Linked DNA regions of Saccharomyces cerevisiae S288C. Changing the gene in region 1 together with any one later gene gives a genetic interaction. Each region holds a gene or a part of one and is shown on either strand. Other genes may lie near its edges.

Region 1 (3,704 bases):
TTATTAGACTATTTCTTTCTGATTGCTTTTTCATGTCAAAGGAAGGAGCAGAAGAGCAGTAAAGATGGCAGTTATTTTAAAAACGAATTTCGAGAAATAGTTGGTATAAATAACTATAAATAACGTTTTACTGTTTTAAAAAAGCGATCCGTTAAAAGGCCCTAACGATTCTTTAGAAACTTGAAACGTTAGCGGAAGAGCACTTTGTTTTAAACCGTAGTAAGAATTTTTTTATATTTTATTTCATTTACTTATTTTTTTTTTTTCTTTACTCCTTTTTTTTATGTTACTTAGACAAATTTCATTATATTAGGTAAAGCTAAAGGATGGTAAAAAGTCTGAGTGGTTCTTTTAATTAAGGTAGCAAAAGTTGATGAAACTGGAACTTCAAAACAGTAATAATATAGTAACAATAAGAAATAAAAGAGATATTAACGACACTAAAATTTTATCTACATATAAAATTCAGTGATGAACCAACCGTCTCATAATAAAAAAGGAATGGTAAAGAAATCATTAGAGAAGAAATTAAAGTAATAATAGAAACACAAATTGTTGCTTTAATCTTATAGTAAGGCAACGCCAACAGCAGCAACGACACCCATGAATGAAGTGGCTGGAACAAGTTCTGGAGCAGCACCCTTAGACTTCTTAGAAGAAGAGGAAGAAGAGCTAGCGGAAGCTGAAACGTTAGCTTGAGCATTGGAGGCATCACCACTAGAAGAAGCGGAAGATGTAGCAGAGCTCTTGGATGATTCAGTAGAAGTAGAGGATAGCTTAACGGAGGTAGATGTGGCACCGTTCTTGCAAACAAAAGAGTCACCTTGAATAGCACCGTTACTTTGCAACTTCTTCAAAGCGTTACAGGAGAAGTTACTGGAAGAAGAGTCGAAGTTAGCACCACCTCTAACAGACTTCAAAGAAGATAAGTCCAAGGTTGAGAAGTTACCAGTAACTTCAATGGCACCACCAACAGTTTGAACCTTGTTAAAACCGTCAATGACCTTCAATTGTGTGTTGTTAGCAATGATGAAACCACCACCAACAGTAGTCAAGTTACTGAAAGCGGCCTTGGATAATTCATCGTTGGAGACGATAGACAAAGATTGACCAACCTTGCTCAATTGGGTCAAGTTCAAACTTGGCAAAGTGTTGTTAATGAAACCTAAGGAAGCGTTAACAGTTTGCAAACTACCGAAAGAAATAGAGTTAACATCTCTCAAAGTGATGTTGTTAGCCCAGACCAAATTGTCGAAGGCCAAAGTAGTGTTGTCACCGTTGGAAGAGAATTGTAAAGAGTCAGAGACACTTTCCAAGGAAGATTGGAAAGAGTTTAGATATCTGTTGTTGTTGATGTTAAAAACATTAACCTTCTTCAAAGTGGAGAAACCTTCGACACTTTCCAAAGTGGTGTCAGAAACAATAATGTTGTTAGCATTTTGTAAATCGGTGGAGAAGGTAGAAATGGCAGGCAAAGTCACCATGTTAATGGAGTCTACTTCTTGCAAAGAACCGAAAGAAGCACTGGTCAAAATGATCAATTCTTGCATGTTCAAATCACCGGTGATTTTCTTGATAGAGTCAGCGGAGAAAGAAGATAAAGAACTGGAGTTGAAGATAGTCAAGGAACCATCAATCTCTTGGATACTAGCCAAAGCAGCGGAACCCAAGTCACCGGTGATGGTCAAGTTACCAACAATGGTACTACAACCGGAGATTTTGTCCAAATCAGCTTGAGCAGTAGCAGTGGCAGAAGTACCAATACTACATGAAGATGGAATAGAAGTAGTTGAGTTAGCTGCTTAGATAAAGAAAAGTAGTGTTAGTATTCCCGATCGATTTATACATGTATTATTCTGTTTCATTACTCGCCCTAATCCTATGACAGGCAGAAATATTGAAGAATATTCCAAAACCATCCTCACGAGATCTCGAAACCCGTTTCCTCTTTTGGAAATTTTTTTTTTTCGCATTGTCCGTCCGCGTCAATCGAGACCTATGAAAAAAAGCCCAGTAATCGACAAAGAAAAAAGAAAAGAATGAAGAGGACCACGAATCTACTCGAGATTTGTGAGGAAAGAGGCAAATAAAGAAAAAAAGATGAAAAAAAAGGAGAATGTGTACATACCAGCTAGAGCGGAGGCACTTAGAATAGCAGTAGCAGTCAAAGCGTTCTTGAATTGCATTGCGGAATAATAGTAAAATTAAAACTAGATCTTTAAAAGTCAAATAAACGTATTCTTGATAGCTCAAAGGGACTTGTTGAAAGAAAAATGGAAAAGATTAAACTGTGTAGAAGCGAATGAACGATTAACTCTTTTATTTAATTTCTTTTCTAAAAGTGGCCGAAGTACTCAAAGATGATGTTCTAAAAAGAAGAGAAAGGGTGAAAAGCCAAGAAAGATAAAGAAGGAAAGAAAATGCAGAGGAAAGATCTTCACATATTAAATACAAAAATGCAAGAGAGGTCCGTTGATTGCGAAAAGTCGTAGGTGTTTGACATTGAATATTTATACCGGCTCAAGCACGCTACCGAAAATTTTTCAGTTCGATCTGAGGTTTGTACTTTTGATTTCGATCCCAGGAGGGATGGTTGTTTACTGCACGTTGCCTTTGTTTGTTGTGGTAACGCGGTTTCAGTCCTGTCTCTAGTGCCTGGCCACTGAGAATGAGCGCGTGGGCCAGAAACGGTGGCGCGTCTTTCCCGTTTTTGCACTCCATTTCATTTCTTTTTCGCGAGGGCGCAGCAGCCACCCGGGTCGTGAAGGATGATACTGCCCGCCATCCTTTTTTTTTTGCGGTTTACGGTAATTCGCAGATTTTACGTTGATAATGATATGAATGGTGCCCTCTGGGTAACAGGTGAATATGGAGAGAGAGACGAAGAAAAAGAAAAACAATTGCTTCATTTGGCATATAAGCTAAAAAGACTCTAATGAATTAATTAAGGGAAGATAAGAAGAAAAAAAAAAGGCAGTTATCAGCAGCAAACGGTATCCAAAATATTGAAGCAATATGGTGATGCTCCATTCTAAAAACGTTAAAGGGTTTCTGGAAAACACTTTGAAACCGTATGATTTGCATTCGGTAGACTTCAAGACATCGTCTTTGCAATCGTCTATGATTATAACCGCCACTAATGGGGGTATACTGTCCTATGCGACGTCAAACAACGATGTACCGAAAAATTCCATAAACGAAATAAACTCGGTCAATAACTTGAAAATGATGAGCTTATTGATTAAGGATAAGTGGTCAGAGGATGAAAACGATACTGAGGAACAGCACTCCAATAGCTGTTACCCTGTGGAAATCGACTCCTTTAAGACAAAAATATATACTTACGAAATGGAAGATTTACATACCTGTGTCGCACAGATACCCAATAGCGACCTTTTGCTATTGTTCATTGCGGAAGGTAGCTTCCCTTACGGACTACTGGTAATTAAAATTGAAAGAGCTATGAGAGAGTTGACTGATTTGTTTGGCTACAAGCTAGGTTGATGGGTTTAACAATATGTATCGAGGCCACACCTTTTCATGCGTCTCCGGATGGGGGCTGGAAAAAACAATGCGAACAGTCTATAAATAAACACATTTTCGCAGGGACAGAGTTTACGCAGACACGCCATTTACATAAGCTTGATTACGCGGATTGCCGTGGTGCACTTTCGTGCACTCGCACATATATATGCACGTACATA
Region 2 (3,241 bases), on another chromosome or scaffold:
TTTGCCGGTAGAGATTCCGTCAAACTTCCGATGTTCGACTTGTTCCTGCTTGGTTGTGCCCCCGATGGTCATATCGCATCACTCTTCCCTAACTTCCAGGACAATCTACGTGAGAAACTTGCATGGGTGGTGCCCGTGGAGAACGCTCCTAGTGGGCCCTCGACCAGAATTTCGCTGACTATACCTGTAATCTGCCATTCTCACAGGGTTACTTTCGTTGTCGAAGGTGCAACCAAGGCGCCCATCATCAAGACCATTATGGAAAGGCCTGAAAAGGGCCTACCTAGCAGTATTGTCAACGAAGGTGCTGCTGGTCGTGTATCATGGTTTGTTGACGACGATGCTCTTACGGACGTCCTCGTCACCAAAAAAAAGTATAAATTCCACCAAGGTTTGTCTATTTAAACCATGCATGTGTGTACATACATACATACACACATACATACATACATACATATATTTATGTATATTTATGTATATATATATATATATATATATGCGTAATTATGCAGATTTCTCCTTGTGTGCTACAGCGGGTACTCTGACGCCAGATCATGGCCTCGAGATCGATATACAAACCACTGCATGATAAAGATGAAGTTGAATATTAAAGTTACCATTGACAGTCCCACTTTTCCAAAATTTGTCACGAACGTATCCAGACTGAAACCTTGATCGTTAGACAACTGCCAAATCAATTGGAGCAGCGAGGCGATACCGCCAGTGACATCTAGAAACACACCCTGAATGGGGAAACAATCCATAGATTTTCTTGTCGAGTTATGCGTCACTTGTGGGATGTACTTGATTAGTGACATCGATATTTTGAGTAAAAACAAATTGTTGCAATACGCCAGAGTTCTTGAGTTATGCCAATCGTACCAGTAGTTGGAGTACATAAATTGTACGGTTAGCAGTGAAAAAATGGCCAGTGATGCGAGTAAAATCCTTAGGTACCATGGATTCATCTTGCGGTGACCTTTACCTGGAAATCGCCAGATTCTCGCTCCAGCTACCACCTGGGTCAATAAGACAACATTCATCAAGCACCCATGCAGGCAATACCAGAAATCAAATTGCGTCAACTTGGGCCTGCCCAAGTCAGACTCATCACCCGTCATTTTCCAGCAGTACAATTGCAAAAATATGGATATGACCAGGTAAGAGTAACCTGCCGTATTTAACATGACAAAATCCATCGATATCGCGCTCGCTGACTTATGGCGCCAATTGGTGATTATCGGTGGATACATCGATATCGACCATGACGTAACATACACGATACCTAGTATATCGTCTAACGACACCATTTTGCTTCGCGTTTGCTTTTGTTTGCTTTTAGTTTTTCTTCCCTTGTTTACATATGGAAACTCACCTTAAAATTTCAAGATTATCAAAAAATATAAAGGATTCCGCTATTAAAGGGCAATACCACAACCTCAAACCAAATCACCTAAACCAAATCAAAGATGGAAGCGGAAAAACAATCTGATATTAAGGGAACCATTGCTTTCGATACTCACGGTAACGTTATAGAGTCTACCGGCGTGGGCAGTCAAAGGATCGAAGATATCGGTGATTTATCGAAAGTTACGCTGGATGCAGAAGGTTTTGCTCAAGTTCAAGGAGATTCGCTACTCGTACACCTGTACAAACGCAATGATATCACTTTAGCTGTATATACCAGCGCTCAATAAATTCTTTCCTTCCCTTTCGACATAGCTATGTCTGTATACTATCTAAAAACTAAATATCACAATAAACAAAGTACTAAAATAAACACCCATTTAAATAAAGCCAGATCCTGACCCTCCAAATCCGCCGGATCCTGAACCTCCAAATCCGCCAGATCCAGGACCAAATGGTTCGTCGTACTTGGATCCAGGCATCCATCCTGGCGGCATATCTTCCCGTCTTGGGGCAGGTCTTCTATTTGGATCGAAAATCATACCGCCTTGGCTACTTGGATTCCCCAGAGGATTGGGAAGCCCTCCAGACCAATCCGGATGGCTTGTGCCAACAGGATACAGATCACCATCCGCATACCCTCCTGCTGGGTTAGCGAAGCTCGGTTCAGTTACCGTAAGTCCGGGATATGGGTTCAACGGTGCTGTTCCCTGGTTTTGTCTTGCTTGTGCCTGGTACTCATCGTCAAATTTTGGCATGTCCGCACTACCTGCAGTTTGTCTTTTAAGTTGTGTCATTATAGGTTTCAGGTCTGGCTCCACAGGTAAGCTTTCTCTTTCTAGTGGCCATTTCAATTCTGTGGGCAATTTAAAATCGCTGTAACCCACCACACATGCCATGGTGATCGACGTACCATGACGAATAACAACAGTATACTTGTCATTGTCATCCAGAGTCTGAATCACCACTAGCTCAGAGAGAAACGATGTTGAACCCTTCTCACTGGGAGAATCTTTAATGCGAAAACTCACTTGGCATGATTTGGTTCCCTCTGTATGGCGTGACACCACCTCAGTTTTACCGATGGACTCCAACACTAGTTCTGCTACCAGTTCAACCTTATTCTCAATCATTGTTTAACTCTTGCGTTACTATGGTGGTATTATTGATGCTAATACGGGTTTTTTATGAAAAAAAAAGGATAACAAACTTATATAAACTTATATAAAAACATATACAATAAATGATCTACAAAGGGTAGGAAATAAAAAATAAGGGAGAAAAAAAAATACATGCGTAAGTACATTAAAATTACAGGAAAAATCTTACTTTAGTTCTGATATTTCACCATCGCGATACACCAACCCCATAACGTTTAGGAACAAATTCAAATCTTGGTATAGTTTCTCTTTATTATAAATAATAGATTTTAACTCTGTGTCTAATTCTTGAGACCTCTGAGGTAATACACTCAATTCTTTCTCTTTCTTTTGTAAGGTCTCCGCCTCGTTAATAGTGGCAAAGATTTCATCACGTACTTCATCAATAATGATTCTCTGGTGGTTTAGCTTTCCACTTAGTGCTAAACTAGCTAGGAACTGCCAAATGTATGCTTCATCCATAAACTTGTCATTTTGTAAACGCATGATGTGGTCGTTATATTCCCTTGGAGGGAAAATCAGCTGAATCTTACTTTCCAATGAAGTGAATAATTTATCATAAATCTCATTCCATGTGGAGATTTCAGGAGAGGAAAGAATATTAGATCTTGATGAATCTTGCTTGATTAATGCGGCACGAGAAATCAAAATGGTGATCAAATTTAGACCAATTT
Region 3 (4,436 bases), on another chromosome or scaffold:
AATCCTTGAAGAACTTGTCCTGGTCATTAGCGTATTCTTTCACAATGCTTAAGTACTTGGGATCCTGAATCAAAGAATAATCAGTGGGCAGCATCATGTAGCCGCTCTTAGAGTCCCACTGTTCGTTGTTCGCGTCGTTCTTTTCCAATTTCCAGTCTTCATTCAGCAAGTTCAAGTAAAACTCATTGGTAAAGACGTTGTTAGCGGCTCCCCATGGCCCTTCGTATCCAGAGTTCTTCAAGTGGGTCTTGCCCAGAGCGTGAGCCCCCATAAGAGCAACTACTTCTCTGTCATTCATATTAAGTCTTTGAAAAAATGTTCTGACATAGTCAGCGTCTTTATCAGCGTCAGGCAGTCTCCCGTTGTCAGGGGTAGTATCCTCTGGCGTGTCGACTCTACCACATCTCCATGGAATCTTGGGACCCTGCATTTCCTGCACGGCAGTGACACCCCCTAGACTGAACAGATCACCCGAGGAGATCCAGGGAAACTCTTTGTGAATGGGCTCCAGGAACTTGAAGCCATTCTGCAAGCCCGCATTGGATGGATCGTTAAACTCCTTTTTGAATCTGTATGTACCACCGTATGACCCGCCTGTATTGTCGTGCTTGTCCCAGGTCCCTGAAGTGTGCCAAGCAAGACGGACTAATACGGGCCCATAGCCTATATAGTTGTCATATTCGTCATCTTCCCTCAGCTTGAGTGCAATCGCATTGTACACCTTTTGGAAGTCCTCGTATGACCTCCCTTTTTCGACAGAGGCGACATGAACGAGCGGTGTAGTGGAAGCCAAAGCAGCTGCCTTCCCCCAGTTGTTCCATCCGTGGTTACTACCACCCCCGGGAGAAGACGATGATCTCTTTTGGGATTGCGAGTAAGCAAAAGTTGCAGCAGCAGCAGCAGCAGCAGCAGCGGAGAACAGGTAGAGAGACCTCTTATGGGCGGTTCTGCCCAGTGAAGGTAAAAGCCTAACAGCAGTAGTCATAATTGTAGATATACGTGTGTGTTTGCGTCTGCATGAATGCGAAATTCATGTTCTTGAGTTAGCGAGCGTGTACAATAGTCTCTGCTTAAGTACTTTTCGCTCCAGGGTCCTTTCCTAAATTGGTAACAGCCGGCTTGGGCCGGCCCCTGGATGCCAAGAGAGTCATATTACTCAGTACTCAGGACCAAATAACTCATCGCTGTCGTTGGTAAAGAAAACTACAAATCTGGGCCTGACCATGGTTTACGAAATTCCTGACAAAGCAGGATATTCTTTGGCTTTGGAATTTCCATTGGCGAGATCTAGCTGCGGGAGAAATCATCCCGACATTATGTAAGCTACATAGGTCGCTGAAGTGTAGTCGCCACACGGCAGCGCTAAATGATAACTAGTAATTGGTGTGGAGCGACCACATTTTCGCATCGATCCAAGCTCGTCTTTTGGCTTTCTTGGCTATTCTTACTAGTTATATTGAATTATTACAGCTCTTGCTGGAACACCAGTAACCCGCCGTTGCTCCGCATTTTCGAAGTAAATGGCTCACTTTGATTGTAAGGTTGAGAGGAGTAATAAAGAGGGGAGAGAAAAGAGGAGAGACCCTGAAGAAGTGGCAGCTTGAGTATAAGATAGTGTCTTTTCGTGCTTCGTCGCTAGAGCAAAATTCTACTTTCACATCTAATAAAGCCGATTAATCGATCAGTTATTGCTCCCTTTCCTTTATGTCTGCTCCCGCTGCCGATCATAACGCTGCCAAACCTATTCCTCATGTACCTCAAGCGTCCCGACGGTACAAAAATTCATACAATGGATTCGTATACAATATACATACATGGCTGTATGATGTGTCTGTATTTCTGTTTAATATTTTGTTCACTATTTTCTTCAGAGAAATTAAGGTACGTGGTGCATATAACGTTCCCGAAGTTGGGGTGCCAACCATCCTTGTGTGTGCCCCTCATGCAAATCAGTTCATCGACCCGGCTTTGGTAATGTCGCAAACCCGTTTGCTGAAGACATCAGCGGGAAAGTCCCGATCCAGAATGCCTTGTTTTGTTACTGCTGAGTCGAGTTTTAAGAAAAGATTTATCTCTTTCTTTGGTCACGCAATGGGCGGTATTCCCGTGCCTAGAATTCAGGACAACTTGAAGCCAGTGGATGAGAATCTTGAGATTTACGCTCCGGACTTGAAGAACCACCCGGAAATCATCAAGGGCCGCTCCAAGAACCCACAGACTACACCAGTGAACTTTACGAAAAGGTTTTCTGCCAAGTCCTTGCTTGGATTGCCCGACTACTTAAGTAATGCTCAAATCAAGGAAATCCCGGATGATGAAACGATAATCTTGTCCTCTCCATTCAGAACATCGAAATCAAAAGTGGTGGAGCTCTTGACTAATGGTACTAATTTTAAATATGCAGAGAAAATCGACAATACGGAAACTTTCCAGAGTGTTTTTGATCACTTGCATACGAAGGGCTGTGTAGGTATTTTCCCCGAGGGTGGTTCTCATGACCGTCCTTCGTTACTACCCATCAAGGCAGGTGTTGCCATTATGGCTCTGGGCGCAGTAGCCGCTGATCCTACCATGAAAGTTGCTGTTGTACCCTGTGGTTTGCATTATTTCCACAGAAATAAATTCAGATCTAGAGCTGTTTTAGAATACGGCGAACCTATAGTGGTGGATGGGAAATATGGCGAAATGTATAAGGACTCCCCACGTGAGACCGTTTCCAAACTACTAAAAAAGATCACCAATTCTTTGTTTTCTGTTACCGAAAATGCTCCAGATTACGATACTTTGATGGTCATTCAGGCTGCCAGAAGACTATATCAACCGGTAAAAGTCAGGCTACCTTTGCCTGCCATTGTAGAAATCAACAGAAGGTTACTTTTCGGTTATTCCAAGTTTAAAGATGATCCAAGAATTATTCACTTAAAAAAACTGGTATATGACTACAACAGGAAATTAGATTCAGTGGGTTTAAAAGACCATCAGGTGATGCAATTAAAAACTACCAAATTAGAAGCATTGAGGTGCTTTGTAACTTTGATCGTTCGATTGATTAAATTTTCTGTCTTTGCTATACTATCGTTACCGGGTTCTATTCTCTTCACTCCAATTTTCATTATTTGTCGCGTATACTCAGAAAAGAAGGCCAAAGAGGGTTTAAAGAAATCATTGGTTAAAATTAAGGGTACCGATTTGTTGGCCACATGGAAACTTATCGTGGCGTTAATATTGGCACCAATTTTATACGTTACTTACTCGATCTTGTTGATTATTTTGGCAAGAAAACAACACTATTGTCGCATCTGGGTTCCTTCCAATAACGCATTCATACAATTTGTCTATTTTTATGCGTTATTGGTTTTCACCACGTATTCCTCTTTAAAGACCGGTGAAATCGGTGTTGACCTTTTCAAATCTTTAAGACCACTTTTTGTTTCTATTGTTTACCCCGGTAAGAAGATCGAAGAAATCCAAACAACAAGAAAGAATTTAAGTCTAGAGTTGACTGCTGTTTGTAACGATTTAGGACCTTTGGTTTTCCCTGATTACGATAAATTAGCGACTGAGATATTCTCTAAGAGAGACGGTTATGATGTCTCTTCTGATGCAGAGTCTTCTATAAGTCGTATGAGTGTACAATCTAGAAGCCGCTCTTCTTCTATACATTCTATTGGCTCGCTAGCTTCTAACGCCCTATCAAGAGTGAATTCAAGAGGCTCGTTGACCGATATTCCAATTTTTTCTGATGCAAAGCAAGGTCAATGGAAAAGTGAAGGTGAAACTAGTGAGGATGAGGATGAATTTGATGAGAAAAATCCTGCCATAGTACAAACCGCACGAAGTTCTGATCTAAATAAGGAAAACAGTCGCAACACAAATATATCTTCGAAGATTGCTTCGCTGGTAAGACAGAAAAGAGAACACGAAAAGAAAGAATGATCAAAAAATAGAAAAATAAAAAAAAAAGCATTTGACAATGTTTGTAAATAATATAATATGAAAGTAACTACTGAACAAAAACATTAAGGATAACATTTCTACGTAGGAAAATAATGTATACCTAAATAACGACACCAATAATAACAAAAATCACGAAAAAAAAAAGCTTACATGTCCACTAATCTTCGCCGATCGGTATTTCGTCTTTTAAAATTCTATTTAACTTAACCTTGATCTCCGTCTGAGAGTCTCCTCTCAAGATATCCGACACAAACCAGACATCACAATCCAGCTGCACCATTTCAAGTGACCCTTTCAAAACACCACACAATATATTGGAATACCAGAGCGATTTCATAGCGTCCATGGGTAACTCCACAAAGTCAGCCAATGGGTTTTCATCCAAAATCAATGAAAAAGTATCCTTGTTATGCGACCAGTTCGTTATGTTGGGTGTGATGTTTAAAAATATTTTGAATGCACACTTACTTAGTACTTCG
Region 4 (3,892 bases), on another chromosome or scaffold:
CGGATGGAGAATCCCAGAATTTGGTAGAAACACTAATTTTCAATCCATTTACCTCGGGTGAGTTGGAAGATGTTGCCAATAACTTTATTAAACTGTTCCCCTTGGTCTATGAAAAAGGTGTTTATTTAGATGCACCTACTCACGTTTTAAATCCCTCGTTAACCAATAATTATTTAGTGGAAACTTTAGTGGAAATAGTTAGGTTAACTAAGAGTTTGGAAGCATGTCGTAAAATGCTCAAGAAGTTAATAGAAATTCATCCAGAAGCAGTAATAATATTAATTCGTGTTTATTTTGCGTGCGATTTAGAGATAGATGCAGTTGACCTGATCAACGAGCAACTAAATTCCCCCTCTTCGTTCTTAGCCGACGATTCAAAGACTAGCCATATCCAGCTAATCTTCAAATCCGAATTATTAAGTATTCAAAGTGAATTCTTACTGGATGTCAAGAGAGATTACAAGCTTGCTAAGGAAGTAGCCATGGAGGCTGTTAACTGTGCACCAAACGAATTTAAAACTTGGTATTTATTGACTAGAATATACATTAAACTAAACGATATGTCAAATGCCTTGCTATCGTTAAACGCCTGCCCCATGTCACAGGTTAAGGAAAAATACGTTCTTAGAAGAATTGCGCCTATTACTTCAGATGAAAATCTTCATCTGCCATTACCATTGGATGCCTCAATTGAGGAGATTTCGTCATTGAACCCCATGGATGTCCAGTTGGAGCAAAAGTCCGCAGATCCAAACCTAGTCAATCTCTCTGCGTCAAGTTTAAAGTCTACTTTCCAACTAGCCTATAAATTATTGACAGAAATTGTCCAAATAACAGGATGGGAGCAGCTGTTGAAATATAGATCAAAAATTTTCGTTATGGAAGACGAGTACCAAGGCTCCACTTCTTCCATTGATGAAGCAGAAGTTCGCGGTAATGATATATCCAAAATGAGATCAAAGAGGCTATGCGAAAGATGGTTGGATAATCTCTTCATGTTACTATACGAAGATTTGAAAACTTACACCGATTGGCAATCAGAGCAATTGTATTTTGATGCTCAAAACAGTAAATATCACAAATTAACTGTTGAATGGGAATTATTCGGCCTTTGTGCGAAAAGACTGGGACATCTTCCAGAAGCTGCGAAGGCTTTCCAAATTGGGCTTTCCCAAAGATTTTCTCCAGTATGCGCAAAGAATCTATTACAGTTTTACATTGACGAGCATAAGCGTATTAGGAGGGATTCAGTCTCAGCAAACTCCGAGTTAACCTCTTCTCAAATATTGTCAAGTATCAATGACATCGACAGCTCAATCATCGATCTAGTAGTCAAGATTTGTTGCTGGAATCATCGTTGGTACATCGAGTTCTCAATAATATTAATAGATGCTCTGAGTGTTGCAGTACAAGATATGGGCATTACTAAAGTACATAATGAAATTGCCTCTAGATTTTCTGACCCAGTAGCCCAATTGATTGACGATAACATTCTAAATTTTCTGAAGAATTTCACGAATGACACTTTCGATAATTAGAAAAAGATGAATACAATCAATAAAAAGGTGAAAGAAATCAATTAACAAGAAACGGGTTATGTATTTTATGTATGATATCCTGGCATTGTCATGTATAGGTCACCTTCTTGGGGAATTTCCCATTTTCAAGTTATTCTGCCTCTAATGCGATAACCGTAATCTTAAATTGTTTAATTTCTTTTTCACAATCTGAGCCACGCCCGAAAAAAAAACAATGTAATCCGCGTAAAGCGAAACTGAGTATAACCCAAAAATAGAATGTAAATTAATGAAAAGCCCATTTCTCCAAAAGATCAGCTTTACTCAAATATCTAATTAAGTAATTGACTGTGTACATTGTCCTTTATCTCATTTTGAATCACCTTTATTAATTTTTGGTTGTTATATAGGACGAACAAATTAGAACGAAATCATATCCAGAACGCAGATATGATCGTCAATATTAGTGCGAAGATGATCTTATCGATATGCTTTACGTTTCTGTCATTTTTTAAAGCCACTCATGCCATGGATTTGGATACTACTAGCAAAACGTCAATTTGTGATGCGACAGCGTTAATTCAAGGTGGTATGCTGGATTACTATGAGGGTACTAGATACGGTGGTACCGTTGGGATGTTTCAGTCACCATACTATTGGTGGCATGCAGGGGAAGCATTTGGTGGCATGTTGGAAAATTGGTTTCTTTGTGAGAATGATACATATCAAGAATTACTATACGATGCACTATTAGCGCAAACTGGTTCCAATTACGATTATATCCCGTCCAACCAAACGATGGTTGAGGGGAATGATGACCAAGGTATTTGGGGTATTACTGTTATGGGTGCTGTCGAGAGAAATTTTACAGACCCCGGTGACGGCAAGCCAGGTTGGTTGGCAATGGTACAAGCTGTTTTCAACACCATGTACTCAAGATGGGATTCAGAGCACTGTGGCGGTGGTCTGAGATGGCAAATTTTCACTTGGAATAGTGGTTATAATTATAAAAATACAGTTTCAAATGCATGTTTGTTCCAGATTGCGGCGAGGTTGGGCAGATATACTGGTAACACTACATATTTGGAGGTTGCTGAACAGGTTTTCGACTGGCTAGTGGATGTCGGGTATGTGGTTCTTAACGATACTGCAAATGTCTTTGATGGTGCTGAAATTGATACAAATTGCACTGATATTACAAAAATTGAATGGACTTATAATCACGGTATCGTGCTTGGTGGTCTTGCATACATGTATAATGCTACAAATGGAACAGGTGAATGGGAGACCAGTTTGACAAAAATTCTAAATGGTGCTAAATCTTATTTCTTCAAAGATAGTATTATGTACGAAAGCGCTTGTCAAGACTATGGCACCTGTAACACCGATCAAAGAACATTCAAAAGTATTTTTTCTCGTATGCTTGGTCTTACAAGTGTCATGGCTCCCTTTACTAGGGACACAATTGATGATTTGATAAAAACAAGTGCTGAGGCCGCTGCAAAATCATGTAATGGTGGTACAGATGGGCATACATGTGGTTTAAATTGGCAGAAACAAACCAATGATGGCTACTATGGATTAGGTGAGCAAATGAGTGCTCTAGAAGTTATTCAAAATCTTTTAATTCATGACAGGCCAGCTCCATATAAGGAAGATAATGGCGGTACGTCAAAAGGTGACGCGAATGCCGGTATGAACTCATCGACCACTAACGTGCTACAAAACAATTTAAACATTAAGAAAGGTGATCGCGCTGGTGCCGCTATCATCACAGCAGTCATACTGAGTGTGCTAACTGGTGGGGCTGTGTGGATGCTGTTTTAAATGTGTCAAACTAGGCTCAAAAAAATTTTATTGTATTCTAATATTTAGGCTATCCTTTTCTTTCAGTAAAAATGTTTATGTGCTACATACAAAACCCTTCATGATCAAAAACTGATTAAAATTTAGAGAGGAACAATTGTTTTTAAAAAAAATACTAAAAAACACTCACGATGGGGGTCGAACCCATAATCTTCTGATTAGAAGTCAGACGCGTTGCCATTACGCCACGCGAGCTAGTCATATGTTTCTTTCGTCTTTTTCATCTGATGACATTCTAGTGGAACATTTATGGTAAGATACCGATTCCATTTTAAGGATTTCTATACCCTCGAGGAGAACTTCTAGTACATACATAATTTTATAGCTTTGACCAACAATGGAATCCCAAAAATTATCAAATTTTTTATCAAATATTCAAATATATCAAATATTCTAATGTTTTATAAACGTTTTATGAATGACATATATGCGATAATTATATGGCTAAAGAAAATCAATGCAAGTTCCATCATGGTTGTGTAAAAGGAACGTTTCAGCTTGTATCTGAG

What was found.
Region 2: mutations in ECM33 (region 1) and ERS1 together harm fitness more than expected from each alone (negative genetic interaction), as found in Saccharomyces cerevisiae (2 studies listed by BioGRID).
Region 3: mutations in ECM33 (region 1) and GPT2 together harm fitness more than expected from each alone (negative genetic interaction), as found in Saccharomyces cerevisiae (2 studies listed by BioGRID).
Region 4: mutations in ECM33 (region 1) and DFG5 together harm fitness more than expected from each alone (negative genetic interaction), as found in Saccharomyces cerevisiae (2 studies listed by BioGRID).

Annotation. Positions count from the first base shown.
Region 1 is NC_001134.8:391,605-395,308, reverse strand, and holds ECM33 (Ecm33p), read right to left. Parts: upstream 2,187-3,704; coding exon 2,129-2,186; intron 1,799-2,128; coding exon 567-1,798; downstream 1-566. Other genes in the region: SLM4 (Slm4p), read left to right, coding at 3,016-3,504. UniProt on the Saccharomyces cerevisiae protein: Required for proper cell wall integrity and for the correct assembly of the mannoprotein outer layer of the cell wall. Important for apical bud growth.
Region 2 is NC_001135.5:247,506-250,746, forward strand, and holds ERS1 (cystinosin-like protein ERS1), read right to left. Parts: upstream 1,311-3,241; coding exon 528-1,310; downstream 1-527. Other genes in the region: SOL2 (Sol2p), read left to right, coding at 1-405; EGO2 (Ego2p), read left to right, coding at 1,470-1,697; FUB1 (Fub1p), read right to left, coding at 1,788-2,540; deadenylation-dependent mRNA-decapping factor PAT1, read right to left, coding at 2,733-3,241. UniProt on the Saccharomyces cerevisiae protein: Cystine/H(+) symporter that mediates export of cystine, the oxidized dimer of cysteine, from vacuoles/endodomes.
Region 3 is NC_001143.9:566,214-570,649, forward strand, and holds GPT2 (bifunctional glycerol-3-phosphate/glycerone-phosphate O-acyltransferase GPT2), read left to right. Parts: upstream 1-1,704; coding exon 1,705-3,936; downstream 3,937-4,436. Other genes in the region: CCP1 (cytochrome-c peroxidase), read right to left, coding at 1-985; TRAPP complex core subunit BET3, read right to left, coding at 4,115-4,436. UniProt on the Saccharomyces cerevisiae protein: Dual substrate-specific glycerol-3-phosphate/dihydroxyacetone phosphate sn-1 acyltransferase, catalyzing the first and committed reaction in the de novo synthesis of glycerophospholipids and triacylglycerols (TAGs).
Region 4 is NC_001145.3:744,386-748,277, forward strand, and holds DFG5 (putative mannan endo-1,6-alpha-mannosidase), read left to right. Parts: upstream 1-1,967; coding exon 1,968-3,344; downstream 3,345-3,892. Other genes in the region: BCH1 (exomer complex subunit), read left to right, coding at 1-1,538; RNT1 (ribonuclease III), read right to left, coding at 3,877-3,892. UniProt on the Saccharomyces cerevisiae protein: Required for normal synthesis of the cell wall.